2 linked regions of the Rattus norvegicus genome follow. The protein of the gene in region 2 purifies or fractionates together with the protein of the main gene of each other region. This does not show direct contact. Links are inferred from orthologs where the notes say so. Each region holds a gene or a part of one and is shown on either strand. Other genes may lie near its edges. The genes, in order: Smarca5 and Baz1b.

Evidence for each region.
Region 1: the proteins of Baz1b (region 2) and Smarca5 purify together in Homo sapiens (affinity purification with western blotting; 11 studies listed by BioGRID and IntAct, with this or other methods). This does not show direct contact. The link is inferred for Rattus norvegicus from reciprocal best matches to the Homo sapiens genes BAZ1B and SMARCA5.

Annotation. Positions count from the first base shown.
Region 1 is NC_086037.1:44,194,130-44,209,383, forward strand, and holds the end of Smarca5 (SWI/SNF-related matrix-associated actin-dependent regulator of chromatin subfamily A member 5), read left to right. Parts: intron 1-10; coding exon 11-132; intron 133-988; coding exon 989-1,141; intron 1,142-2,984; coding exon of another isoform or gene 2,985-3,008; exon of another isoform or gene 3,009-3,022; coding exon 3,023-3,155; intron 3,156-4,863; coding exon 4,864-5,012; intron 5,013-5,990; coding exon 5,991-6,110; intron 6,111-7,029; coding exon 7,030-7,140; intron 7,141-7,392; coding exon 7,393-7,506; intron 7,507-7,821; coding exon 7,822-7,944; intron 7,945-9,454; coding exon 9,455-9,587; intron 9,588-9,703; coding exon 9,704-9,822; intron 9,823-10,212; coding exon 10,213-10,425; intron 10,426-12,478; coding exon 12,479-12,586; coding exon of another isoform or gene 12,587-12,715; exon of another isoform or gene 12,716-13,637; coding exon 13,638-13,703; 3' UTR 13,704-14,838; downstream 14,839-15,254. UniProt on the Homo sapiens protein: ATPase that possesses intrinsic ATP-dependent nucleosome-remodeling activity.
Region 2 is NC_086030.1:27,076,534-27,091,787, forward strand, and holds part of Baz1b (tyrosine-protein kinase BAZ1B), read right to left. Parts: intron 14,486-15,254; coding exon 14,352-14,485; intron 11,717-14,351; coding exon 11,614-11,716; intron 10,013-11,613; coding exon 9,914-10,012; intron 8,276-9,913; coding exon 8,098-8,275; intron 6,322-8,097; coding exon 6,139-6,321; intron 1,809-6,138; coding exon 1,661-1,808; intron 1-1,660. UniProt on the Homo sapiens protein: Atypical tyrosine-protein kinase that plays a central role in chromatin remodeling and acts as a transcription regulator. Involved in DNA damage response by phosphorylating 'Tyr-142' of histone H2AX (H2AXY142ph).

The sequences.
Region 1 (15,254 bases), on a different chromosome or scaffold from region 2:
TGTCCCTCAGGTTCAAGAGTACTAATCTTTAGTCAGATGACAAGGGTATTAGACATTTTGGAAGATTATTGCATGTGGAGAAATTATGAGTACTGCAGGTTGGATGGACAGACACCCCATGATGAGAGACAAGTAAGTACAAAAGGATGGGCAGTTAAAAGTCAGATAAAGCAACTTTATTTTTTATATTCCACTAGTGTGTACCAATTTAATATATGTTTGCATTGTGTTGCATCAGAGTATTTAATTTTTTTAAGAAAAAATTAATGTATTTTTCTTTTAAAATTAGTGTGATCTTTTGCCTGCATGTCTGTACCCTGTATGTGCCTGGTGCCCTAGGAGGCCAGAAGTAGTAATTGGAACCCTGGGGTCTGGAGTAACAGATGGAGATGGGTGCTGGAAGAGCAGCCAGTGCTCTTGCCTACCGATCCATCGCTTTAGATAGGGATTCATATTTCCAGGCTGGTCCGAAAACCGGGCTCTAGGTAAGGTAACTTCCTGAGCTAGTCAAGGTGGTATAAACCTGTAGCCATGGGGGCTGGAGAGACGGCTCAGTGGTTAAGAGCACTGACTGCTCTTCCAGAGGTCCTGAGTTCAAGTCCCAGCAACCACATGGTGGCTCACAACCATCTGTAATGGGATCCATGCCCTCTTCTGGTGTGTCTGAAGACAGCTGCAGTGTACTCATATACATAAAATAAATAAATCTTTAAAAAAAAAAAATCCTGTAGCCACAGCTGTTTGGAACTGCAGGAGGAGCAGGTACTTGAGCCGGCGTGGGCAATGTGAAAAATAATCCTACCCGTGTTAGATATGGTGGAGATTATCTTTAAACCCAGTACTCAGGAGTCAGAAGGAGGTCTACATAGTGAATTTCAGTTCAGCTACGGCTACGTAGTGAGATCATATCTTAAAAAAAATAAAAGAAAAAATCCTATTCCACAGCAAATATAACAAGTTCCTAACACTTACTATTTTATTCCCATAGGACTCCATTAATGCATACAATGAACCAAATAGCACCAAGTTTGTATTTATGCTAAGCACACGTGCTGGTGGTCTGGGCATCAACCTTGCAACTGCTGATGTAGTAATTTTATATGATTCAGATTGGAATCCTCAAGTTGATCTTCAGGCTATGGTAAGAGGTAACAAGTAAATACTGTGTGTGCTTAATAGGTGTCTTAGGCAGGGTACGTTCATTTTATAATCCTGATTTTACCTACTAGAACTTTCTTTTAATTTTAAAAAATTTAGTTGTTTAGAAATTGTGTCAACACATTTCTACCTGGTGTGTAAGTAGAGGTCAGATGACAACTTAGGGGAGTGTGTTTTTTTTCCATCATCTGATTTTTAGGAATTGAACTCAGGTCACCAGGCTTGGACAACAAGTTCTTTACCCACTTAATTATCTCCTCAGCCTACAATTTTCTTTGTTTTTACATACATACATATATATATATATATATATATATATATATATATAATTTTAAACTATTTTTGATAATATCTTAACATCTATATCTTTTACTTTGGTGATGTATACCTCCCATTGTCCCTGGTTAGATTTGTCCTAATATATCTCTCCCTTCTCAACACTCACTCACTCACTTTCTCTCTCTCTCTGAATCCAGTGATTCCAATTATTGCACCTATATATGGGGCCTTCTACTGGAGCAAGAGCAATTTTCCCAATTATATCCCCAAGATTCTCCCTGCCCCAGTAGCAGTTACCTGCCAGTAGTTCTTGGCTAGGGAAGTGGGTCTCAACAGCTGGAGTTTTGACGCTTGATTTTGTGCAGGGAGCCACAGCTGTGCTGTGGGTGATGCCTGCAATAGGGTGATAGCATTCTTCTCCGGCCTCTGGCTCTTAGATTCCTTCTCCCACCTTTTCTTTCACCTTTTGATGGGTTAGAGAACCCTTGAGTGTGGTGGGAGGCTGGTGAAGATGTCCCATTTCAAGTTGAACACTCACTGTCACTTAATAGAATTTTATTTCTTTTCACCTAATAGGTCAGCAAAAAAAATACTTTCAATACTCTGGTGAATGCGAATGTCAGTAAATGAGTATAGTTGTGCTTTAGAGAAAAGGGAAATCGGTTTGTGGGCTGGTAGTTGATCTGCCCTTCGGATGCCTAAAATATATGTTTATTTTGTGAGTTGTCTGGCCATCTGAGGAAGTTAATTTTAAGGCTGAGAAAATTCAGGATCTATAAACTAATGTGGATTGTACAAATTCTGACTGTTGTCTTAGAATATTGAGTTTGTAAGTGCAATTTTGAATTATCTGCACGAGTAACTTTTTCTTAAACTCTTTGTGAGGATAGTTAATAGAAATAATAGAAATTGATAAATTATTAGAAATAGGGTGTTTTTTTTTTTTTAAATTAATGTATGAGTTTATGCATGTATACCCACCTGCCAGAAGAGGGAATCTAATCTTCTAATAGATGGTCATGAACCACCATGTGGTTGCTGGGAACTGAACGCAGGACCTTTGGAAGAGCAGTCAGTGCTCTTTAACCACGAACTGATCTGATCAGCTCCAAAAATAAGGTGTTTTGTTGGAGGAACATGGTTTACCAAAAAATAAATAGAACTAACATTCAAATTAATTTGATTGAGTGTATTTAGCTAGTTGAGTAATATTTAAATATGATTTTTATATCATTTGTGAAGAACACTTTTCACGTTTTTAATTTTCCTAATAAGTGACATTTCATTAATTTGATGGATAAAAAGATTTTGAAACTAAATTCAAGTGAAAGAAATGATTATCAAACTGATATATTACAATTTTGTCTGTTAGATGGTATCATATTTTTTTACTCATGTGGTTGGCTTTGTTGAACAACTATAATTTTCTTTAGGAAGCTTTCCTTGTATTTAATTTGATTAAATCTGGGAATTTAAGAAGTATTTATGTAATATGAATCCATATTATAGGTGTTATATTTAATGAGTATTTTAATTTTGCTTCTCAGTGTACCTGTAAAATGACATGGTAATTTAATTCTGCTAGGACCGAGCACATAGAATTGGACAAACGAAGACTGTTCGAGTGTTCCGCTTTATAACTGATAACACTGTGGAAGAAAGAATAGTAGAACGTGCCGAGATGAAGCTCAGACTGGATTCCATCGTAATTCAACAAGGTGAGACCTAGAACTTGAGATAACTTCTTTTTTTTTTTTTTTTTTTTTGGTTCTTTTTTTCAGAGCTGGGGACCGAACTCAGGGCCTTGCGCTTCCTAGTTGAGATAACTTCTAAGTTGAATTGACAGCAGCATGTTTCAGTCTGATGCTCTAGGGGAGATTTTAAGCACCTGGAGTCCAGCTAACAGTCAAGAAAGAAGATATATATATTCCAGATATTTTAAACTTTTTAATTTTGTCATTAATGTAATGAGTTTTGAGCTTGGATAAGTTGATTTTAGTATTTACTAGCTAGCAGGTTTTCTTCTAACCTGAACTTCAAACTTCACTTAAGTAGAATAAAAAGTGATAGTTTTTAGGAATTAATGGGATACTATATAAAATACATGACATTCAGTATAGCATATATTAAGTTGAGCTGTGGTGATTTATTAGCACCAGGGATACTGAACAAAAATATGTGTTTCCTGTGTGGAACTATTTACTAGGTGACTGTCAGGCGCTGGCACTGTTCTTGCAGTAGAGACTAAAGCAACAAGTAGACCCCAGTGTTACTGTTTTCAAGGAACTTTAGAATTTAGGAGGAGGGGGACTGCACTGAAGCTGTAGGACTAAAGAGGAGTGGTATTTTATTTGGTTCAATTGAAGGGAACTTGTACCAGATCAGCTGTTAGGAAGACACACTTTGTTTATTGTAGTTGTGAAAAAAAATTAGATTGGCTAACTTCCTACCAGTTGAAGGTCTTAATTTATTATGTCAAGTTCCTTTCTGTGTTTAAACTAAATTTTCAAAAGCTTTTGAGTTTTTCATATTAGATATTTAATTTTGTTATTTTTAAAAAATTAATCAGTTAATTAATTGATTGATTAATTGAAATGGTTTCAGCTGATGTAGAATTTGCTAAGTGGACTGGGCTGGCCCTGAACTCGGAGGTTTGCTGCCTCTGCTTTTCAGAATTGGGATTAAAGCACCTGATTTAATTAAAGATCTAATATATGAAGACTTTTGTTTTAGTGTTCTTAGCAGACGCCGATTGGTTAAGATGAACAATAACATCCTTCTGATGGGAAATGCCTTTATGTTTATATGGTTTACATATATATGTCAGAATTTGTGACATTTTCTCTCAGCTTTGATTTTCTTTTTCTTTTTCTTTTTTTTTTTTTTTTTTTGGTTCTTTTTTTCGGAGCTGGGGACCGAACCCAGGGCCTTGCGCTTCCTAGGTAAGCGCTCTACCACTGAGCTAAATCCCCAGCCCCTTGATTTTCTTTTCTTTTTTGTTTTTGTTTGTTTTTGAGATGGTCTCATTGTATAGCTCTGGCTGTCCTGTAACTCACTATATACTTTGGTCTGGCCTTGAACTCACAGAAATACCTGCTTCTGTCTCCTGAGAACTGAGATTAAATGTGTATGTCACTGTACTCAGCAACTTGATTTTCAAATATCTCAAACAAAAAACATTTTATTGAGTCAATAAAGCTTATTACAGTAGGTAATATATAATATGTAAGCTTTAGAAATACTTAACAACTTAGACAGTTGAAAAATACGGCATTAAATTTAACATAGTAGTGAATTTGATCATTTGTAAATAGTAAACAAATGGATAAAATTTCTAATATTTAATTTTTTAAGTTTATAGTAAAATAAAGTCTTAATATAATACAACACAATCTCTCTCTCTCTCTCTCTCTTTTTTTTCCCCAGGGAGGCTTGTAGATCAGAACCTGAACAAAATTGGGAAAGATGAAATGCTTCAAATGATTCGACATGGTGCCACACATGTGTTTGCTTCAAAAGAAAGTGAAATCACTGATGAGGATATTGATGGTATTTTGGAAAGAGGTGCAAAGAAGGTGAGACACTAGTATATGATAGTGTTTTGTAACCAATAGTTTATGAAGAAACCCATGACCTGACTTCTCCATAAACATGAATGCGTGTATGATTTTTTTACTGCAGATAAGAGACTGAGAACAGCCAGCAGCATCTGGAGGAGTCCAGAGCAGAGAAAGTAGACTGATCACGATAGCAGCATGTGTGGCCAGCCTGGGGAAGCAGCAGAGGGTAGAGAAAGCATAGTGAAAACAGCAGGACAAAGGGAAGAATAGTGAAAATAGCCAGGCTGTAAGATAGGAAGGATGAGCAGGGGAAGCCCAAGAGCTACATGGAGTTAGGTATGGGAGGAGAGGAGAAGGGTGAAGATGTCATGGTAACAGGTCTTTATGATATAGGGGAGCTTGGAGGCCAGCATGGGCTTTGCTGTGCAGATAGGTGCCAATACTAGAGAGGCTGCCAGCGGTTAGGGAAGTGACTCCCTTTGGTGGACTTCTGGCTTGACAAGTTTCTGAGGAATACTGGCTTTATCCAGCTGCAAGAATCCTATAGTCAGGTTAATGCAGTTTCTGCATATTTGCACTGCCTTTTGAATTTGAGGAATTTGGAGTTTCCTTCGGACCTAACAGTTTAGACAAAAACTATTTGAGAAAATATTTTCTCTGTGAATCATCAACTTCTTTTTTCTACAAAAACCAAGCTTTCATATACCATAAAGGAGTCTTTTTATTTTTTTTTATTTTTTATTTTTATTTTTGTGTATGGGTGCCTGTCTGTGCATCATGAGTGTGCCTGTTGCCCAATGAGGCCAGAAGAAGGCACTGAATCCCCTGGAACTGGAGTTAGATACAGTTGTGAGCTCCCTTGCGAATTGAACCAGATTGTCTGGAAGAGCGACAAATGTTCTTAACTTTTGAGCCATCTTTCCAGTCCTGTTTTGACTACAGGTCTTAAGATTATTTTACTCTCAATTTAAGAATTTTTTTTTTTCTATGTAGACTGCAGAAATGAATGAAAAGCTCTCCAAGATGGGTGAAAGCTCACTTAGAAACTTTACGATGGATACAGAGTCCAGTGTTTATAACTTTGAAGGAGAAGACTATAGAGAAAAACAAAAGGTAATTACTTCAGAGTGAAGCTTTACTGAACACTTGAATCATGTGTTAGTTGCTCCTTCACTTCTTAGGTTTTCATGGTTCAGTGTTGTGAATGTAATCCCTGAGTTATCTGTTCCCTTGCTTATTTACTTACGGGGGTGGTGGTCTTAACACAGCCCTGGGTGGACTTCCTCAATTTCTATCTGAGACTGGCTTGAATTCTAATTCCCTGCCTCTGGGTCTGTCCTTAGTGCTGCCATTACAGATGTGTGCCTAAGTTAGTTTTGGAGTATTTTTAATTTATATGATAAGGCTCATTGCGTACTATTTCTGAAAGCATTCTTTTTTTTTTTTTTTTTTTTTTTACACTCCGAAAGCATTCTTGTATAGTGTGAGTATCCTTTGGAACATTTCAGAGTAAACTAAATGGCAATAAAAAGGCCATGGGCTATTTTTCTTAGAACTTGAATTGATAATTAAAATGATTCAGTAGATGTATCTGCTACTACAGAGAGAAATTGTCATATGCTGTATAAAAAAATACTTGTCATTTTTTTTTAACATTTAGACAAATACTGACCATAGGTTTTGTTTTTTTTTTTTTTTGTTTTTTGTTTTTCGGAGCTGGGGACCGAACCCAGGGCCTTGCGCTTGCTAGGCAAGCACTCTACCACTGAGCTAAATCCCCAACCCCAGTTTTTTTTTTTTAAAGAAAATTATGTCTAATTTTTCTACTTACTTGGGTTGTAGCATATATTCTGTAGTATTTTATAAATTCTGCTTTGTGTGTTAATGACATAGTATTAAAAATGCCATAGTCCTTACCATTGTAGAGTTTGTAGTTTAGTATTTCATCAATATATTTTTATTTATACGTCAATGTAGATAATTTATTGCTTTGTATAATAAAATTACTGATTGGAACTTTTCCCCATCCTAGATTGCATTCACAGAGTGGATTGAACCACCTAAGAGAGAAAGAAAAGCCAACTATGCTGTAGATGCGTACTTCAGGGAAGCTCTGCGTGTCAGTGAGCCTAAAGCACCCAAGGTACGGTGACAGCATGGACACACTTAAATATGCTACATTCTCTAACACTTTCACAGCAGAGTAAAATTGAGAATTATGTTTGCTATTTTTGAATTGGTTTAAATGTTGATTAATGTCAGTTCATTTCTATTTAAAGGTGAGTTTTCTTTCTTGGAGAATTGGCTTTTATGGTTTAGGAAATGACTTAATGTGAGTGAGAGTTCTGTGTATTTTTGTTTTTTAACGGACAATACTGTTTTTACTTTTCTTTAGGCGCCTCGACCTCCAAAACAACCAAATGTTCAGGATTTCCAGTTCTTTCCTCCACGTTTATTTGAATTACTGGAAAAAGAAATTCTATATTACAGGAAAACTATCGGTTACAAGGTGATTGAAATTCTTCTCTTTGCATTTTCTTCTCAGAAGCACAACGGCAAAGCTACTTACTGACTTTTTTATTTAACTAACTTGAACCTAGTAGGAAATGCTGCTGTTGCCTGCTGTGCTCTAGTATATGAACTTTCTGAGTTTTCACTAAAGAGAAAATTTCATGAGTAATACTTTTTAAAGATGTAATATACTAGAAATTAAGCAATATGGTTAATTTTATGGGTATATTAAAAATGTGTAATGTTAATTTGTCAAGAATGTATGAAGCCTCTTAAAATTAACCAATTGATGGCTTTGAAAAACCTGTGTTAGGTACCTCGGAGTCCTGATCTACCCAATGCAGCACAGGCACAGAAGGAAGAGCAGCTTAAAATCGACGAAGCAGGGCCCCTTAATGACGAGGAGTTAGAGGAAAAAGAGAAGCTTCTGACTCAGGTATAACCTTGATTAACACAAAATTAAGTTATTTTGTAAAGTACTAGAAACAGCTTTAGGTTTGTTGAGTCAAACATAAATGCACATTTCTGTATTCAAAGAGAACAACTGGGCTGACAGTGTGATCTCGTACTGGAATGCTTCCTAGCATGTGTGGTATTCTAGGTCCAATCTGTAGCACTGCAGAGAAGGAAGGGAGCACAATTCAACATGGGGAAGCTTGGACAGATGCTGCTGGATTTGATTTGCATTTCTAGTTGAGGTTGTCGGTATGTACTGGGTATTAGAACTTATTTTCAGTACTGCCAGCTTTCTGTGTCTCTTCCAGGTTATTCTAAATTACAAATTTCTATTTGGTACTTAATTTAAACCATTTAAAAATTTTTACGTGTTCATTGTACTTGGTACTTTGTTACATGAGAAATATTTTGACACCAACTATACATTGGATGTTGAGTACATTCATCCCTAGTCCCCATACTCCACCCTCCCACTCCTCCTCATTGGTTGCCTTTGTTCTTCTGTTCTCTGGCATTGGGGTGTGTGTGTGTGTGTGTGTGTGTGTGTGTGTGTGTGTGTGTGTGTGTGTGTGTGTGTAAATGCCAGCTAGCAGGAAGGAAGCGTTCAGTTGAGTTTCAGCTTGAGTCCTCTATCTGCAACCAAATAGTATGCTGTCCCCAGCAGGAAGGTTTAACATCTATTTCTGATGGGCAGCCAGGAACACTGGCAATAGATTGTGTTGTTTTAGGGTTTCTGGGGCCTTCCTGATCAAGAACTTTTATGAGGGAGGTATCCTACATCTGGCAATGCGGGTTTGTTTGATCCTCATAGCTTTCATAGTCAACCCATGCAGGATGCTGTTAAAAAAAATACACAGTTATATACTCTTGTGTTCCTGTGTGTGGATACTTGTGGGAGTCAATACTTTTTAACCATGTAGATTCTGGGGATTGAACTCAAGTTAACAGTCGTGGCTACAGGTACATGCTGTACCATCTCGCTGGCTCTTTTAAAAGTCATTTTTATGGGCTGTAGGTAGTATATAGATAGTAGGTTTCAATATGACTTCTTAGATCTTTAGTTTTGGTTAACCCTGTCACCTGTTTTCTCCTTTCTTCTGCTCCTTTTCCATTTGATCATTACCACCCTAGTATCTCCTCACTTACTTTATATGTGTTCTGTCCTTTAAGCTTGTTTTTCTTGCATTTTTCTACTTGTTCATTTTTCTGTTACTTTTATTTCCCAACTACTAATAGTGTATCAAAGCTACGAAGAGGGTCATTGAGCTTTTCAGTCAGCATTCCGATTGTCTTTCATTTAGAGTTCGTTGTTAAGGTTTCTAAGAAATTTATAATGTATTGGTAAAAGTGTGTACGTGAAAATGTAACCAAAACTCCAAGGTAAGATAAAGTAAGGATTTTTTTTTCTGTACATCAAATGTGTTTGAAAGTAGCGTTGTTGTCTTAAGTTCTGTGTGCTGTCATTAAATATTTTGCTTATTGCTGTTTAGGGGTTCACTAATTGGAATAAGAGAGATTTTAACCAGTTTATCAAGGCTAATGAAAAGTGGGGTCGCGATGATATTGAGAACATAGCCAGAGAAGTAGAAGGGAAAACTCCAGAAGAAGTCATTGAGTACTCAGGTAATACCTTTACTATATTGTCACTCTTCGAGAGTTGAATAGAAGGTTTCTGGAAGCTTCCTGTTTTATTTATATATAAACCCCCCCGCCCCTTTTACCCATTTATTCTTTTCCAGCTGTGTTCTGGGAAAGATGCAATGAGCTCCAGGACATAGAGAAGATTATGGCTCAGATTGAAAGGGGAGAGGCAAGGATTCAAAGAAGAATAAGTATCAAGAAAGCACTAGATACAAAGGTACTGTGTGCATTAAATACGGGGGCTGTGTAACTCCAGACTTTGATATGATAACTACATTATAAGAAAAGATTTCTAATTTAAAATTTCCTTAATAAAAAAAATTGTTAACTTTTGTTAACATAGTTTCCCTGAGTACTAAATTGATAGCCTGGTTTAAAGAAGACTCCACTTCTTCCTAAGTGTCAGAAAGCTTAGACCTCATTTCTGTAGTCACAACAATGGTGAAAAACTATAAAAGTACTACAGGACAAAGAGCAGGTCAGAGTCTTGAGATAGAAAATTCTGATTTGAAATGGAACATTTATGGTTGGTTATGGGAAGGCTGAAGTAAGCTTGAAGTATGGATTACATAGGACTTGTATTTCATACACTGTGTATAAATTCTAGATTGGACGGTACAAAGCACCCTTTCACCAACTAAGAATATCGTATGGTACTAACAAAGGGAAAAACTACACGGAAGAAGAGGACCGCTTTCTCATTTGTATGCTTCACAAGCTTGGCTTCGACAAGGAAAATGTTTATGATGAGTTACGACAATGCATCCGAAACTCCCCTCAGTTCAGATTTGATTGGTTTCTCAAGTCCAGAACTGCGATGGTGAGTGTCCAAGGTTTGTGTAGTGTGTCAGTTCAGAATAAGTATATTATTCAGTTATTTGTTACCTTGTTAAAAACATCCTTGAAGGAGACTTTAGTTTCAGAAATTAATTTCCTCTAGTGTTCACAGCCACAGCGTGAAAACGTTAGAGGCAATTTGAAGAGCTTGTCTCCTTTAATGTTGTGTGTTTTAACATGGCTTTATATAGTAGGGCTAATTAGGTTCTCAGTGAGGAGAAGTGTTCACCTGAACATGGTGACTTTTTTTTGCAAGTAGGCAGTTGTGTAGATGGCAGTGTTCTTCCCGCATCTGTCTGTCAGGCGGGATGCTGTAGCTGGGTTCTTTAAAGTGGCTGGTTGGCATAGAACAATATTTTCTATACTGATTTGAGACTGGGTTTTGTTTGTAGTTTTAATGTCTGGCTGTTTCTAACAAGAGATGCCCATTTCTAACATCATCAAATTAGAATTCAAGAAAGCTTACCTTTGGATTGTATCTTGCTTTCTGTATTTCAACACCTTTAACAAAAATTGAAAAGTCTTGAGTTTGAAACATACAGCAGTAAGAAAGTGTATGCATTTGAAGTATCTTGTTAATGTACAATGCCGTGGCATTTTCACATTTGATCATTGAAAAATAGCTTTCCTTTTCAGTTGGTAGTAGAACTGTAGTTTTGTGACATCTTTAGAGAAATGTAACTAGCATATGGAACCTGCCCTGAAGATACTTATATATAAGTATATGGTTAGTTGAAAGATTGAGTTGCTATAAACTTTACTGTGTTTCTTTTATATAAGGTACTATTTTTGCATAACATATAAGAAATTATTTCATAATAGTGCTAGTGAGATAGTGTCACATACCACATAAGCCAGATCTGAAAACTGCTTTCTTAGCATGTTAATATTAAGGCATACAAAATAAACATATGTAGGTCTTTATGGTAAATAAGAGGCATAGTTTTTGACCAGGAGTGCAAAGGATTCACTGTGCCAGCAGTGTGTGCTACAGTAAACGTGATAAGACATTGTGCACCACATCCTTCGTGTGTGTACTGTGCCATACTTTTGTTTTGTTTCCTTTTGAGACAAGATTTCTCTGTGTAGCCTTGTCTGTCCTGGAACTTGCTCTATAGACAGGCTGGCTTCAAACTCATAGAGTCGTTTGCTTCTGTCTCCTCAGTGCTGGGATTAAAGGTGTGCTCTACCACCTGGCTTTGCACTATACTTTTTAGAAAGGAAACAAAACTTTGGTTTTTATTGTAAGCATTACTAAGCCATGCATGGATTTTTCTATCAGGTGGTTTAGAATTATTTTACTATGGCTGCTTGCGTAGGAGTTTTACTTACATATAAGAGATTAAAAAAACAAAGACACTTTTTTCCTGTAAATAAACAAAGCAGTGATGCAAATGGATCTTTACCTCATTGCATGTTACCTGCTGACTCTCCGTTACACTTCAGATCTCTTCTGGCGGCCACATAGATTTGTAGAGAGTGGAGGCAGATAAAATACATCGTGGGTGTTAGCCTTCCTGCTTGGATGGGAGTGGGCTTTATAGCTATGTGCATAACGGCCATAAACTAAGATGATGATGCTTTTAAAGAAAATATTTTTTTTTAATCTCTTAAGTTCTGGTTAGTTTTGGTTTTGAATTATGTATGCTAATCTTTAAATATAAGTAGTCCAGAGTTCCTTGGCATAGTTATTAAATGTACGAGATGTTGTGTTAGTACCTACATGATAAACGAAGGAACAGTTTGTGAAGAATATACACTATACTTTTGTTTGCTTATTGGCATATTACCACAGAGCTACACCCCCAGCCGTGTTAGTGCAGCTTAAAAAGAATGAAGTAAAAACATTAAATCCTTGGAGTTTTTGAATCCTCATAGTGTGGTCTGTGAGAAAAAGTGAACTTCCTTTTGTTTTTTAATCTACTATGGATATTTAAGGGATTTTTGTATTTGTTAAAATACATATTTAGATAGAGAAGTCCTATCAGCATGTACTTGGAAAAAACAAGTTTATCATATATATATTTGTAATGCAGGAGCTCCAGAGGAGGTGTAATACCTTAATTACTTTGATTGAAAGGGAAAATATGGAACTAGAAGAAAAGGAGAAGGCAGAGAAAAAGAAAAGAGGACCAAAGCCTTCCGTGAGTACAGATTATGTGAATCATACAGTTTTGGGTGTTTTATGCACAGTAGTGTGTATGTGCATGTGTGTGTGTATTATCCATATATGTATGTGTAGTAATACTCACTGTGTGGGGCGCAGAGGTTGACAATCAGATGCCCCTTTATTTTTTGATTAAAGAGTCACACTGAATTTGCAGCTTGCCATTTTGCTAGGTAGGCTGTTGTAAGCAACTCTTCTTTTCCAGACCCATGCACCATCATTGGGTTTTAGGATTTTACTGGATTTGGGGATCAGAGCTCAGGCCCTTAGACTTGCATGACAAGCAGTTTACCCACCAGCCATTTGTCCCGCAAACCCACCACAACCAACTTTTAAAGTATTTGAACATTGTTTTGTTTTTCCTTTGTAAATAATACATTTGAGTTGCCTTAAAATATAAACTGGGTTTGATACACTAAATATAGAAAACCATGTTACTCTGAGGAGCTAAAAGAAACTCTTCTGATTGCCAAAAGTACTCACTTGTTCTTGAGAATGCTTGAAATTTTAGGAGACTTTTAAGGAGTATTAGAATATTGAACATGGTGGCTTGACAAGTTCTATGGCAGTCTTCTAAGTTTTTTTTTTTTAAAGGTTTATTTATTTTATATATATGAGTACACTGTAGCCGTCTTCAAACACACCAGAAGAGGACATCAGATCCCATTACAGATGGTTGTGAGCCACCATGTGGTTGCTGGAAATTGAACTCAGGACCTCTGGAAGAGCAGTCAGTGCTCTTAACCACTGAGCCATCGCTCCAGCCCCCGTCTTCTAAGCTTTGATTTAAGTTTAGTTTGATTCTAAGTTTGATTCTAAGTTTAGTACTGTGTTAGTTTGAATGTAAATATTTCAGGAGGAAATAGGCATCCTGTTAGTCAGCAGCAGTAAATTATTTGGAGATTTGATAGTAGTTTTGAAAGATTTGTTATGAAGCCCTGCAGAAGAGTCTTAGGCTGTCAGTCATATGCAGTCACTGCTACCATGCTGCATCATGTTTGAGAACTAATTGTTCTGTTTGTTTATAGACACAGAAACGTAAGATGGATGGTGCCCCTGATGGCCGAGGAAGAAAAAAGAAGCTGAAACTATGAATGCGTTTTGTCTTATAATCACTAACTAGTAGTTCTTTAATTTACGGGTCTTCATAAGATGTTCTGTACAGTGCTCAACTGTTACTGTCATTCAGAGACATGAGGTCATCTGCTTACTGAGCTAGAAACATAGTATGTAGTTTCCCTTTTTTAAATGCAACAGCTGTGCTGAAATTTTTTTTATCATTAACAATTGAAGTAATAAAACAGGCTTCATTTATTAATAAATGTTTCATTTGATTTATTTTTCTAATAGTTTCATTTGTGAGGATTGTGGCTTTTTATCAGCTACTTTAACACTTGTATGGCTTAAAAACAAGCAAACAAGTAAAAAAAAAAAATGCAAATAACATTTGATTGGTCCCTTCTACCTGGTTTGTAATTACTTCACATTCTTTGCTGATTTTTTTTTTTTTTTTTTTTTTGGTAGTACTATTGAGTCTCATCTGGAAAGATTGTGTAAATTGCATTCTTGCTTATTATAGAATGGGGGTAAGGCAAGACATATTAATTTTCTGTGCATATTTCTGTTACACTTTCTGTTTCTATGGTTCTGATGTGAATGTGCCCTATTTTGTTGGATGAATGGCCTTTTTTAGTTGTATAGCCAAAGACATTTAGTATTTTCTGGTTCTTTAAGGTAATGTATTATTTTGTAAAAGGAATTTTTTTAAGTATTTGGAAAATATTTTGACAAATGGCCTGCAGCAGCCACAACTTAGAAAGATAATGTCAGAAGTGAGGTGATTTTTTTTTTTAATTTGAATGACCAAGCCAAAATGAGGTGAGAATTTGTCATACTGTTATAATACTAATAGAATGTACCCTCTCAGTTTATAGTATTTTTTGAGTTTTTAGAGTAAATGAAAATTTTATTTTATTATATTTTACAAATAACTTCTAAGTCTTAGTAGCAAGATGGAGTATAATTCCAGTTTTTATTTTCTATGGAATAGACTGGTGAACTGGAGACCTTGAAGCAGGAATACCCAGAGGCCTTTATGTGCTACACATCATTTGTATAAAGTTTTATATGTGCAAATTGGGTACATAAGCAGTTCTCCATTTTTCTAAGGGAATGCAATAAATGTAGCATCGTGAATAAATATAACTTTTATAATCCTTAAAGTGGTCTTTTCTTTCCATTTCTTTGAACTTTTCCCCAATTTTTTTTTTTAAGATTTATTTATTTTATATATGTGAGTACACTGTCGCTGTCTTCAGACACACCAGAAGAGGGCATCAGATCTTATTACAGATGGTTGTGAGCCCCTATGTGGTTGCTGGGAATTGAACTAGGACCTCTGGAAGAGCAGTCAGTGCTCTTAACCACGGAGCCATATCTTTATCCTCCCCTCCCCATTTATTCTTTAAAGGTTTATAACTTCAATCTTTCCCTATAAGGATAGTCAGTTTTTCTTAGATCTCTCTCTGAAACTTAATTTTTGTGTGTACACGAGTCACTAAAAAGACTGCTGTGTGTACTATGACGGTCTGATGTTTTCTTAATGTAGGGTTGCTGGTGTCAGGGACATGCAAACAGTCCAGAAA
Region 2 (15,254 bases):
CATGTGTGTTTGAATCTGTGAAGCCATAGAGAGCACAGGATCCCCTGGAGCTGGAGTTACAAGAACTGCCCAACACGGGTCCTCCGGAGAAGCAGCAAGCACCTGTGAGAGCTGGGCCACCACCCCAGCTCCTTTTTCTTTCTTTCAATATAAGGTTTCAGCGTTCAGCCACAATGGGGGAGCTCCTCCTGGCCCTGCCTCCCAGGTGATGGGATCACAGGAACACCCATCACTCAGCTGCTTCTGTGTGCACATGGAGGCTAGAGGCTGACATCAGTTATCGTATTTGACGGCTGTCCACCTTATATACTGAGTCAGTCAGTCTCCCCCCCCCCCCGCCCCCTCTCTCTCGAATCCCGAGCTCAAGGTTGGTTCTGTAAAAGCCCTTGTCTCTACCTCCTAAGAGCCTGGGCAGGAGGGCCGCCATGGCCGATGGGGACTTACGTGGGTGCAGCACAGAGCTCTGGCCCCCATGCTTACACACAGGCATCTTACCTACCGGGTCATCTTTGCAGCCTGCATTTTTAAAAAATGCATTTACTTTCTGAAAATTGGACAATTTAGGGAGAGTTCCTAATGTATCTCCTCAGAACTATCTAGAATCAGGGCAGGACAGTTAGTAGTCACTAAGTTTACCTGGGCATCGTGACACACTCCTTTAATCCCAGCACTGAGGCGGCAGAAGAGGTAGGTATTTTTGAGTTTCTGTCTCGCCAGAGTTACATGAGACCCTATCTCAGAATAAGTAAATAAGTAGGGGTTGGGGATTTAGCTCAGTGGTAGAGCGCTTGCCTAGCAAGCGCAAAGTCCTGGGTTTGGTCCCCAGCTCCGAAAAAAAGAACCAAAAAAAAAAAAAGAAAAAAGTAAATAAGTAAATAAAACGTGTTTAATTGTATGGGTATTTTAACTAAAAGGCAGCAAAAAAATTAAAATAATTAAAAAAAAAATCAATGGCTGGAGACTCTGCTGTTCTCCTTGGACCCCCAAATTCTTCCACATGTCTGCCTGGGTTCTCAGATCTGGTTAACTTCCTTCTCTGACTGCCACTCTAGTCAGTTTTACAGCAATCAAGTCTACACAGTGCCTCACCCTTTGGAAACTGAACCCCTAAGCTAATTCATGACATAGAATTAGTCAAGGAAAAGTAAAAAACATTTCCAAATGCGTGGCCCTGGACTCAAGGCTTTAAAGACTGAGGTCGGGGTGCGCAATATGCAAAGACTGCCCCCTGCTGGAAGCACTGACCTCAGCTCGGCTCACAGGCCCGAGGACTGCAGATTTTACTCCACTAACTCGCTCCTGCACAAAGTGAAGACTGGGCAGCTGCTCCAGTCACACACCGTGGATGCTCACACACCGCAGATGCTCGCACATGCTGGTCACCAGCAGGAGATCGCAAAGGGGAAATCTGCCCTACCCAGTTAGAGATACACACAGAAGGACTAAATGACAGACAAAAATTCCTTCAGAGAGTGGGCTGTAGTGGTGCACTCCTGAATCCCAGCACTTGAGAGACAGGCAGGCAGTCTGGGCTACAGAGCAAGTTCTAGGACAGCCAAGGCAACACAGAAAAACCCTGTTTCAAAAAACCAAAATCCCTTCAAAAGAGAAAGAAAACTTTGAGTGGAACACTTAGCTATCAACTCTCCTCAGTGCGTACCTTTCTTCCGGCAAACCTTGCATCTGGCGTTTTCTGCAGACATATCCCACTTGATACACGCATCCAGCATCCCAAGGAGGACGTGCATTCTGGAGAAGGTCTGTGCTTCACGGATGGCGGTTTTCCATTTCTCCAAGGCAGAGGCAACCTAAGCAGCAAGGAGACAACCTGATGGCATGACCATGACCTCAAAGATTACAAAGGGGTCTGAGTGGGTAAAGACAGAATTCGGAGGATTCTAGAGTTTCATTAAAGCCACCCACTTATATGATACTCCCCCATCAAGGCTTCAAAGGATAAAAAAGAAGCTTGGCAGAGGTCACACCAAAACTAAGCATACAGTAGGGTCGAGAAGCAACATGTCTCTTCCAGTGAAATCATTTAGACGTAGGAATAAACACCAGCACACATGATCAATCAATGTACGCCCTACAAAACTTTGGCTAATGAGTCACCCACTCAGGCCACAGATACGGTGAGTCTTATCTATAAAGCTGTGAACCTGAGATAAAGCTCCTCTCATCTGTGTGTCACCAGCCTTTAATCAAAGCGAAAGTTCTCATGTCCCAAGGACTGTAAGGGACTGCCACATGAAACATCTATGGGGTGTACATGCACTAGGCAAATTCATACCTTTAAATATTACACAGCACCTCATAAATATGCAGTTACCAGGTATTAATGAGCTTCTAGACAATTCAAATGGGGCTAGAGATGGCTAGGAGAAGAAGAGCACTGGCTGCTCTTGTAGAGGACCTGGGTTTAGTTCCCAGTATCCACATGGTGGTTTACAAGAATCCACTTCAGAGAATCCAACATCCCCCCTCTTCTTCACACACACACACACACACACACACACACACACACACACACACACACACACACACACTCACACTCTCTGGCAAACCTTACTCTATGCATAAACTAAATCTAGTCAGGTTGTGGTGAGGCACGCTTTTAATCTTAACACAGAAGACGCAGAGACAGGAGGATCTCCTGGTCTACAGAGTGAGTTCCAGGACAGCCAAGGTCACACCAAGAAACTGCCATAAATAGACAAACAAATGAATGACTTAAGTAACTAAATGAAGTGTGTTTAAAGAGGGGGAGTACTAGCTACTCTGACTTGATATTATACAGATGTACATACACTGAGTTATAATGCATACTATAAATTTATACAGCTAAAATAATAAAGGCAAGTTGAGCCAGGTCTGGAAGCTTTCAGAAGGCACGTAAGTCCTGTGCGCATGGATAAACACTAGGGAACCTGGAATGCTAAGCATACAGGGCTTTACTTTGAGGAAGGGATGCATAACCTGTTATCCTCCTAGAAAGCTGGGAGTAGACATACATTCTAGCCTGGTGACCTTTGTGATATCTGAGTGGCTGGAGGCCACACCAGATCCTCCCCTAAACCCTTAACCTAAGTTTGTTTTTTTCAAGCTACAGAAGCCATCTACGGAAGCTGTCAAGAGCAGTCGCCTATACAATCCGTCTTTACGGAAGGTGTCAATGCACTTCCCACCACTTTGATGTAATCACCTCCCATCTTTAGCTTTCTGTGTGCTTTACTGTACACAGGGAAGTTTTCACCAAAGTGTACTGTACTTAAAAATGCCTAAAATAAGTTGCCCGGGGTCAGAGTCCTGATGTCATGTTCAACATGCCTTCTTGCCTCCTTCAGACCATTCTATGCTGTCTGCGGTGCTCAGAGGCTCCCACAGCAATTCAGATCTGTAATTTCAGCACTTGGGAGACAGTAAAACTTTGTCTCATAAAAACAAAACAAAATGAAAAAGTGGCAGACAACAGGGTTGTCAGAACAAATACAGACAAAAAAACGCCAGACATAGTGACGCACATCTGTTATTCCACACTCAACAGGCTGAGACAAAATTAGATTTGAGGCAAGCCTGGACCACATGGTTAAGACCCGATGTTAAAGGAGACCAAGGCAGAGAAGGAGTGAAGAGATAGAAAGAGAGCAGGATTTCTCCCAGGATTTTCCTAAGTACGCATTATCTTTCTCAATTTAGAGGAAGAAAATTGTTGTTATATTTACATAGATCAGGACTGAAGAGGTGGCTTACGGTTGGGAGTACTTGCTGCTCTTGTAGAGAACCATGGTTCGGGTCCCAGCGCTCACATCAGGCAGCTGAGAATTGCCTACAACTCTAGTTCCAGGGGAGCTGATGCCGCCTTCTGGTTTTTGAGAGCACTGTATACACACGGTGCACATAGACAAGCTGGCACACACATATCAACGTAGGTGAAAATAAATGCTACTTTTTAACTTTTTAAAAACTGCAGACCCTAGATCATGTATTACTACAAAAAGGACCGGCGAGACGATCTCACAGAACCAAAGAAACTGGAGCCCAGAAGAGAGACTGACATAAACTCATGTAGCAGCCTGGTCCCGGCCAAGGAAACCCTGGCCCTTGCTAAGTGGAAACTTTCAAAGCAGAGGACAGTGGAAAATTTTGAGCTGTGGCAAAGCTGACCTTTGGTGGGAGCTGCTGGGCAGGATATTGCTAGAACAGAATAGAGCAGAACCACTCAGCAAGCAACCTAACTGATTTTTCCAAGAAGCTCTCCACTTTTGCACTCAGTCTAGGGCTTACATTTATTTCAGCTCAGGGTTTAGTACACAAAGGGACCTTAATGGGACTTAATTACCTGTTGGTCCTCAGTAAGAAGAAAATCTCACAGGAAAAGTAAATAGCAAGGAAACATTTTTCCAAGAACTTTCCAATAAAAGTCCCTACAAAGCTGGGTTAAAGGGCACCATGGCTCACAGGGCAAAGCCACCTGCCACCAAGCCCAACAATCAAAACTCCATCCATCTTGGGGCTGGGGATTTAGCTCAGTGGTAGAGCGCTTACCTAGGAAGCGCAAGGCCCTGGGTTCGGTCCCCAGCTCCGGAAAAAAAGAACCAAAAAAAAAAAAAAAAAAGAAAAGAAAAAAAAAAAAAAAAAACTCCATCCGACAGTAAGACCTAGGTGATCAAACAACCGACTCCTCAGGCTGTCCTCTGACCTCCACTTGCTGTAGCACAGAAATATGTGCAACACACATACGACTAAAACCAAAACTGGGGCAAATTTAATCTAGGTCTCTAACTTCAGCACGCGAGCCCGAGGCTGAAGCTGTCTCAGAGATCACCTAGAATACTATCTGGGTGCTAAAGGCCACTAAAAGAAACCCAGGAAGAGTTCTTACAGTCGTGCTAGTAAAATACTGATTAGGTGTGAAGTCCCATTGTGAAGTAAATCAGCCTCTCACCCCAGATGATCACCCTGAATCATATACCACTGTGGTCTAAGAAAAGGAAGGAGAAACTTAACTGTGTACAAACTCTCGAGGTGTTTTAGGAAGAGGAGGGACTTAATCCTAAGCATTTCTGCTTGTAATCACATAGGCACACGTAACGGCTTGTTGGACCAGCTAGAACTGGAGTTAAGACAGTTGTGAGCTGCCACATGAGCGTTGGAAATCGAACCCAGGTTCTCTGGAAGAACAGCCAAGGCTGTAACTGCCCCGCCATCTCTGCAGCGCCTGAGAGTGACTTCTGAAAAGTCTCTGCCTGTGGTGCTGCACGCCTGTTACCACTTGGGAGATGTTGAGTAAAAGGACTCGGGTTCAAGCCTATGTTAAGACCCTGGATCTAAACAAAACAAAACAAAGAAAGGAAACAAAGGCCAGGCATGGTAGCACACACCTTTAATCCCAGAGGCAGGTAGAACTCTGAATTTAAGACCAGGCTGGTTTACATAGAGTTCCAGGCCAGCACAGTGAGACCACTGGCTTAAAACAAAAATAAAAGAGAACTAGATAGATTTATCTCACAGTGAGACAGACTTCATTTTAATCTGCACTTAGGTTCCTTCAGAACCCAGCCCCCGCCCACTACTACTACTGCTGGGAAGCTCTGACACCCTGGCACTCATAAGTTAGCTCAAGGGCCACTCCTATCCACCAGCACAAATGGCCTGGACTCACAATGACTTTAATTTTTTTCCTTTTGAGGCAGAGATTCTATATAGCCCTGGCGTCTCAGCCTTGAACTCAGAGACTTGCCTGCTAGGAGGGGTTGAGTTCAAAGATGGTGTGAAAGGAAAACTCGTGGAAACCCCATGTAAGTCCATCTTTTCTGAGCTAGCAATGGCTGGCTGACACAAGCACAATCCTCTCTGGTAAAGCTGAGGCAGGAGCATGGAGCCGCAGCAGAAGCTGGCCACACTGTTAAGGAAGAACTGGGACTCAGCTCACTGTCATGCTTGTCATGTGACGCTGTGCCTGCCACAGGACAGCACGCTCAGGGTACTTTCTACCCTGCTGTATGTCCAACACCAGCTGTCCCTACAAACAGCTGAGGCTACTACTGTCAGCGGGCGGCTCTCTGCTTCTCCGTCTTACATTCACACAAGTCCCCTAAAGCAAGAACCCGGTGCTTAGACTCAGCAACTCAATACCTTTGCTTCCTCTACCATTTTCTTCTCTTCATCTACTTCCTCGGACTTCGTGGAGTCTTCACTTTGGAGTTTCCGTTTCTTCTGTTTGGGAGCCATGAAACCTTGCAGAAATTTCTTTATGACACTGGCTTGAAGGGCGATGACGCATTCACCAAAATCCTTCAGTTTCTCTAAGGAGATGACCTAGGGAAAGATTTTAAATTGACACCAAGAGGAGAACGAGACCATTAAAGAGTCCGCCTGTAAGTTCCTAACATCCCAAGCCAAGTACCAGAACAGTTCCGCGAGTCCTGCACGCCTTCCATGGTAGACTGGGATCTACCAGCACCTGACACTCGCACTTCCCCAGAAAGGATCCAGAAGATTGAAACTCCATCTGCTCCTGTATGGACTCACTATTCCTCACTGCGTACAGGACAAACTTGAGGGTTGAGGTACAGAGGCTGTGTGAAGCATGTGGGAGGCCATACCTTTAAACCCCAGTACCGGAAATAAAACACAGGCAAGAAAGCAAAGACAATCTGAGAAGACTCAAGCTCTCCACTTCCTGGCTGGGCTCAAGCACTAAGCTTTACATTTCCCACCTCCACTAAACCTTTGTTAATTTTATGACTGTTGAGACAGGCACCAAATCCTTATCTTTCTTTGCACATTCTTTGTGAAGCTGCAGAGATGGCTGAGCAGTTAAAGAGTGTGCACAGCTCTTGTAGAGACCCAGAGTTCAGTTCCCAGCACCCACGTCAGAAGACTCAAAATCACCAGTTAACCCAACTCCACGGGATCCAGCACCTCCAGCTTCCAGGACAAGAACTGTGTGTGTGTGCGCGCGCGCACACACACACACACACACACACACACACACACACACACACACACACACACCAAAAATAAACTGGAGGGGCTGGAGAGATGGCTCAGCGGTTAAGAGCACTGACTGCTCTCCCAGAGGTCCTGAGTTCAATTCCCAGCAACCACATGGTGGCTCACAACCATCTGTAAAGAGGTCCGATGTCCTCTTCTGGTGTGTCAGAAGACAGCTACAGTGGACTTATACATAATAAATTAATAAATCTTAAAAAAAAAAATAAACTGGAGCTGGGAGTGGTGGCCCAAGTCTTTACTTCCGGTGCTTGAGAAGCAGGTAGGCCTGAGGTGGAGCAAGGCTGCTCAACATAGCAGAGTCCCTGACCAGCCAAAGCTACACAGTGATACTTTGTCTCAAAAGAAAAGGAAAAAAAAATTAAAAACAATTTTTGATACAGGGTCTCACTAGGCAACACTGGCTGGCTTGGAACTCACTATATAGACCAGGATGGCCTCCAAATCATAAAGACCCACTTAACTCTGCCTTCCCAGTGCTGGGATCAAGCTCATGCTATAAAACCATGTTTGACGTACACTTTTAATAAAGATGTATTTTACTTCTCATCACACATATGTGCCTGCCTGAATATGCGTGCATGAGTGCAGTGCCCCAACGTGTCTGGTGCTGGAGGTACAGCTGGGTGCTTCACAGAGCGCTGTGTGCTCTTCGTCATGGAGCCAGCCCTTCAGGTCACAAAACTGTGCTTTAAACGTTGTGCACTACAATCTTGACAGTCACATAAGGAATGCCAATTTTTAAAGAAGTGTGGTGGTGTACACCTTTATTCCTTGCACTAGGGAAGCAGAATCAAGAGATCACTTGTGTGTGAGGCTAGCTTGATCTTACATATGAGTTTTGTAAGGTCCATGTAGTAAACCTTGCCTGAAGAGAAAAAAAATCAGGCCAGAAAGAAAAACAATCCAATGTCAGCAAGAGAAAGAACTAGCTTTGGCCCACTTCCTGATAAATACTTAGCAAACGAAAGCCATGACCGAGAGAGCTTTATGTACACATTTTGGTTCCACATGTATCATCCAAAGCAAACCTAACCAGAACGCAACCCAGCTCCCCAAGGGGGTTTCTTGCACTCTTACCCGGGCTTCAAACTCGGATGTTCCCTCCATGTAGCCAAGTCCTCCTTTCTGCAGCCTCGTCGCCACTTCGATGAGATCACTCCTCAGGAAGTTTAAGAGCTCCTGGTTGCCGTCACAAGATTTTAGACCCAAATTTGGCTTCCGAGCCAGATGAATGGAGTGTGTAATTTCTTGGTACCTACAGGAGTTGAGATTGAGAAAGGAGGAAATTATAGAAACTTCTTTAAAACTATTTATTTTATGTATATAAGTACACTGTAGCTGTCTTCAGACACACCAGAACAGGGCATCAGATCCATTACAGATGGTTGTGAGCCCCCACATAGTTACTGGGAATTGAACTCAGAACCTTTGGAAGAGCAGTCAGTGCTCTTAATCACTCAGCTACCTCTCTGGGCCCCTAAAGAAACTTTTGCAAACGCTCTCTACATCCCCCAGCAGCCAGTAACCGGTTCTGTTCCTGTGTTATTCTATATTGGATACTGACCCATCACATATACAGAATCATACAATACATGGCTTTTCATATCTGGCTTCCTTTGCTTATTAGCAAATGTTTTGATACTTACCCCATGTGGCAGCACAAACCAGGGCTTCACAATTTTTTTTTAAAAAAATGTTTATGAGGTTTTTTGTCTGCATGTGCTGTGTGTGGCCGTCTCTCCAGTTGTCATCCCTTTGTAAGTGAGTAAATGGTGTGCTAGCTGACGTCACACTGTCTCTCTACAGTAGACAGTTACGGCATCCATCTTTGGTCTACCATGAATGATGACGGATCAGTTTTGAACACTAATTCAGGTAGGAATGCATTTTTGCAACACTGCTTAACTACAGTGGCTCACAGCTTGGTTCAGGCCACACATTAGTCAAAGAGCAAGGATGCTACCCGTGGATCATATATACCACCCTAAAAGTATTTTCCCAAATAAACATGATGCTCAAAAAGATTACAAACTATGTGAACATCACAGGTTACAGACTTATCTTGTAACGTTAATAGATTATCAACAAAAAGTCAGGTATGACTGTACACAGCTCTAGCCAAGAGCTCCTTGAGACCTGCACAGCACACAGAGGGTAGAGGCAGGAGAGTAAGAAGGTGAAGGTCATCTTGTGCTATACAGAAAGGAGACCCTGTTTCAAATAGGCATGCAGGTTGAGGCTGGAGAGACGACTTAGCTGTTAAGAGCACTGGATGCTCTTTCAGAGGACCGAGGTTTTTTTTTGTTTTTATTTATTTATTTATTTATTTATTTATTTATTTATTTATTTTTTATGTACAGCATTCTGCCTGCATATGTGACTGCAGACCAGAAGAGGGCACAGGATCTCATTACAGATGGTTGTGAGCCACCATGTGGTTGCTGGGAATTGAACTCATGACCTCTGGAAGAGCAGTCAGTGCTCTTAATCACTGAGCCATCTCTCCAGCCCGAGGACCGAGGTTTTGATTGCTTAAGCACCTACACAATGGCTTTCAATCTACAGCTCCAATCCTAGGAATACCCACAGCTCTTCTGGCCTTCTAGAGCACTAAACACACATTGAACAGACATACATACAGACAACACACTCATACACATAATATTACTGAATTAAAAATCAAAGAACACACACACAGAAATCAAGCATGCCAACAAGCCCAAACCAAACCCATCTTGTTGCTGAGTATCATGGTGCACTCTTTAATCCCAGCACTTAGGAGGCAGAGGCAGGCAGATCTCTTGTGAGTTTGAGGCCAGACTGACCTACAGAGACCCCACTTCAAAAGCACACCGTGACTCACACACTGACACTGACATTGAGAAGCACTTACCGTTTCTCCAGTCTCTCTTTCAGCTGACTCTCCCTTATTCCCTGAGGATGCAGGCAATTGAGCAACTCATCCAGTTCCTTCTGACTGTCACACAGAAACCTGAAGAGGAGAAACAAACCTTAAAGTTGGAAATACAACGAAAACCCAACAGTGTACGAAGTCTCAGGCTGACAGTGAGTGAGAAATGCAGAATTCCAAACTGTTTTCCGTCTAATGTTTTCCATTAGAACACCTGATATTAACTTTACTGTAAGTTATGGAAGAGTGAAGGGCTTCTGCTACTATACAGTAACATGTTTGTTTTTTCTGAGACAAGGTTTCTCTCTGTGTAGCCCTGGCTGTCCTTGAACTCAAGAGATCCACCTGCCTCAGCCTCTATTCTGGGACTAACAGTGTGTGTGTGCCAATCACATGGCTCATGATAGACTGTATAAAGACAACAGAACACCTGTCCTAACAACGTCAAAAAGTAAATTATACCTTAAACAAAAACAGCTAAGTGACTGCACCAAACATATTTTATATAATCAAAGGTAGTAAAGACCTCACAAAATCTAGCTCTTTGCCTAAAAGCAGAATTGTACATACCCAGGAACCAAAAGTCATTTTTAATCTTTTTCCATGGGTAAAATTTACTTAATAATTACATTTACCTTAATTTTATTTTAGACATACTTTATAAAGTATAATCAACAAATTCAAAAGTCTTCATATTCCCAAATTGATTCAGAAGCATTTGGCAGTGCTACATAAGATGCATTACACAGCAGACGTATGGTGCACGCCTGTAATCCTAGTACATTGGGAAGCTAAAGCAGGAAGATTAGCGTGAGCTCAAAGCCAGCCTGAGCTACACAGTGAGTTCCAGGCTAACCTGAGCTACAGTGTAATACTATGTGTCTCAAGAATTGGGGGTAAATCCAGCACGTAATATACCAGATTATATTATAAAGAGGTCTGACGGCTAACCTCGGTTGTCAATTGGATACAACTATTATTAAGAGGCGCCCTCAATTTGGGGAACTGCTTTCATCAGACAGGCCTGCGGGCATTTCTTGATTGCTTTCACACTGTGGGCAGGAAGTACCATGCCTAAGCAAAGGAAAGAAGACAAGCTGAGAGTGAGCCTGGGAGCAAGCCAGGAAGCAGCATCCCTCGGTGACCCCTGCCATGAACTCCTTCCTACCCCGGCTCCCCTGGAGGATGGATGGGAACCTATAAGCTAAAATGACCGTTTTCCTCTCAAAGTGCTTTAGGCCACAGTGTCTGTTTATCACAGCAACAGAAACCAAAGTAGAACAAGCAAGGGAAACCAAATCTGAACTTTGAGAGAAATAGCTGGTTACCCAAAGATCACATGTGGTTTTGTAACAGTGAGGTTTTGGGCCTTCTTTCCTTTGAGACAGGGTATTATGTGGCCCAGGCTGGTCCTGGACTTGATATGTCCGGCTTCCATCTCCAAGTGCTGGGTTCCAGGAATGCACTCACTCCCACAAACTGCTTGAGAGCTGCTGGAGATGCAGCGCAGAGCTCACTTACATCAGGCAAGGGCTCTCCCAGTGGAGCTACCCCTCACCCAACAGTAGGCTTTGACATGCAGAACATGTGCGACATGAAATGTCTTTGACATCACTGTGTTAAATAGCTCTCCCTCAACACTGGGAAGGAGTGACAGTGAGCAAGCCAACCGGGGCTCTTACCATAGGTTCTGCCCTTGCTTGGGCACAGTGGTCTCCACAGCTTCTAGTGCTGATCCAAGGTGTGCATTCACACTTGCGTTTTTGCCTAGGTTTGCTTTCTTACCTAAGAGAAATGCAAATGTTAGATTTAATACATTAAAAACCAACTCCTTGTTCAGAAAACCTAAGCAGACTCCATGCCCAGCCTAACAATATACAGATGCTGCCTATTAAACACAGAATACATTTATAATTACTAAACTGTCGAATTTTAATTAATAAGATTTAAGAAATATATAAATAACTATTCCCAGATTTACAAGTATTTCATTTAATAAGAGCATTACAAACTATAGTTATATTACATAAAAAAATTAAATTCCAAACCTTGAGAAAGTATGTTTGCTTAAAAAGAAAACCGTATGTTTTAAAGCAGTGGATGTTAATATCATATGAGTCTCACATGGTCCCCAACCTTTTGTTTTATAGGTATAATGACAGACAGTACATACTGGACGTGTTCAGGGTTTGGAGACATTTGCACATGCCTGCTGACATCTAGTGGCCAGAGGAAGAGGTGGTACTAAATATCCTATTAAAGCCCACAAGACCCTTTCTAACTACAAAGAAACCACCTCACTAACCCTAGCATCTGATCTGAAACAGTTTCTTTTGTTCTTGAATATACACATACACACATGGCTGAAGAAACTATATCTATCCAGAAAAGTACACTTACATTTAGTTTTTCAATTTAGATACCTCATAACCAACAATAAGAAAATGTTATCAGTGACTCTTCATAACTCTTCTAAATCACCTATTTATGTTTTTATTGTTTAGGGTGGCTCACAATTGCCTGGGCCTCTGAGGACACCAGGCCTGTACACATGTGCTGCACAGACACACACAAGCAAAGAAGACACAAACATTAAAAATTAAAATCAAATCCATGTTTACCAATTTAAAAATTTATTTCTATTTCAAGAAGAAAATAAAAAGGCAAGATGTTGCATGCCTACAATTCCAGAAACTTAAGAGGTAGAAGCAGGAGAATTAAAAGTTCATGGTAGTCCTAGGCTACATCAAAGAGTCCAAAGCCAGGGCTCAGGAGTTAAGAGCACTGGCTGCTCTTCCAGAGGATCAGGGCTTAAATCCCAGAACCTATGACAGCTAACATTTATAACTCTAGTTCCATAGAATCTGATGCCTCTACTGACTTTCACTGGCACCAATGCACACAGTTCAGACATACGGACACACAAAACACATATACTTGGGGGCGGGGACGGGGGAGGAGAGGAGAAGGAGAGGAGAGGGAGACTTCAAAACCAACCCAGGTTATATGAGCTTCCCAAACAGGTGGTAGGTGGTTGTCTTGTTTTGTCTGTTCAACAACTAGGCTCAAAGCAATCACTCTGCTTCAGCCTTCTAAGGAACGACAACTACAGACACGTGCCACTGTGCCTCAGTCTCAGTCAACCCCAGCACCCACCCTATAGGGTCTCTATGAAGCCCAGGGTGGCCTCAAATTCACAACCTCCTGCCCCAGGTTCCTAAGTGCTGAGATTACAAGATACTGTTGGGCTGGAGAGATGGCTCAATGGCCAAGAGCACAGACTACTCTTCCAGAGGTCCTGAGTTCAATTCCCAGCAACCACATGGTGGCTCACAACACTTTGTAATGGGATCCAATGCCCTCTTCCGGTGTGTCTGAAGAGAGTGACAGTGCACTCACAAACATGAATAAATAAATTAAAAAAAAAAAAAAAGATACTGTTTCCTCCTTATTAGATTTGCAGTGAAGTGACACTCAGGACTTTATCTGTTTTTTTTGCAGTCAAATCCCCAGCATACCTAGATTTCCTTTGCATGATACAAGATATTTCAGAATTAATTTAAAAAGCAGAGAAAGAAGAGAACTCGTTCCTTGGTCTCCTGCTTCAATTTTAGGCTTGCCGCCTCTACAGACATTCCCAAGGTACAAAATCTGAAAGCTTTTTCTGTAGAATCGACTACCCACGTGCTAGCTCTTCATCTTCCCTCATTACGCTAGGAGCAGGGCTCCCAGGTTCTCTCCTTTCTACATGCTCCTCTTCACTCAGAAGCTAGGCTGGTAATAAAGAAAACACATGGCTGGGAAAGGGGGCACAAGAGAGTCCGTCCGCAGTGTGGATCCTACCCAACTCTGTTAAACCACAAACAGTCCCTACCTTAAATATCTCAAAGCCAGGGCAGAGGTGTGCACCTGCAATCCTGGCACTCAAGAGGCTGAGGCTGGAGGATTGACAGTTCTAGGCCAGCCTGAACTATAGCAAGGCACTGCTTCAAACAAATAAAAATGTTTCATCTTTACAAAAGAAGAAGGTCAAAACACACTCAAAGGAAACAGTCCTTAAATCTTTTTCTGTGACAGCAATGTGCAGCACACTGGTGTGGCCACAGCTCCTCAGCAGCCACACACTCACTTAGGAAAATAGTGCTTCGTGCTGTGCTGCTGCTCCACAGTTCTGACTTACTCAGGGCACTCTGGACAAACCATCCCCCGCCTGTGACAGGCTGACACCATACTCAGGGCAGCGGTTCTCAGCCTTCCTAGTGCTGCAACTTTTTAACACAGTTCCTCATGGCGCATGACCCCAACCATACCACCTGACTATCAACTCCTGTGAAAGGGTCTTCCCACCCCCACCCCGCCCCTGCAGCCCTGGCTGAGAAGCGCTGCTTGACGTCAGCAGCTCCGCAGCAGATACACTTACTGCGGGGACAGTAATCATCATCAGGTAGATTGTTGTGGTCTTTGCGGTGATGCTTAAACCGGTAGTCGATGCTGTTATGGACCCAGCCCTTCTCAATGAATAACCCTGGGACCTCGTTTGAGAAGAGCCAGTATCTACAAAGCACAACAAGGGATTAATTAGTGACAGCCATGATAAGTGAGACAGTGGACAGGGAGAAGGCTGGGTCGCTTTACTGCTGGACAGCAACCTGAGAAGCAGGAAACTGGTCACAGTTGACAGTCCCTTCCTCACAATCTGTAAGGAAAGTCAGGGCAACAAAGACATCTTGGCATCTGGAACTCATCTAATGTCTGTGTCATTTCTGTAGTACCTATTCTGTTTCACTAGGTTCCACACAATGAATAAATTTAAAATAACTTACCTGAAAAATTATTTTTAGTGTTTTGTATTGTGTGTGTGTGTGTGTGTGTGTGTGTGTGTGTGTGTGTGTGTGTATGTATGTATGTATGTATGTATGTATGTATGTATAGACATGACTGGGGCCCCACTGAGTTCAGAGAGGGTATTAGAACCCCTGGAGCTAGAGTTACAAATGGTTATAAGTCACCATGTGGGTGGGACCCAAACCCAGTAACAGTAAGTAGTCTTAATCACGGAACCATCTCTCCTAAAATACCGAACCACTTAAAAATAACTATTTGGATTACAGTTCATCTGTCTGTGCTATTTAAATTTCCTATTGATGGTAGCCTTAAGGACAAGAGGAGACTTTTTTCTTAATCATGGGAATAGAACCCATGGTTTATGCAAGAGCTCTGATATAAGCTACCAATAAGCCTGGGAAATTGCCTTATCTAACTTCAACCCTAGCATCTGACACCAGTAATAGTCAATGATTGAACCGCACGCAATCATGGCTAC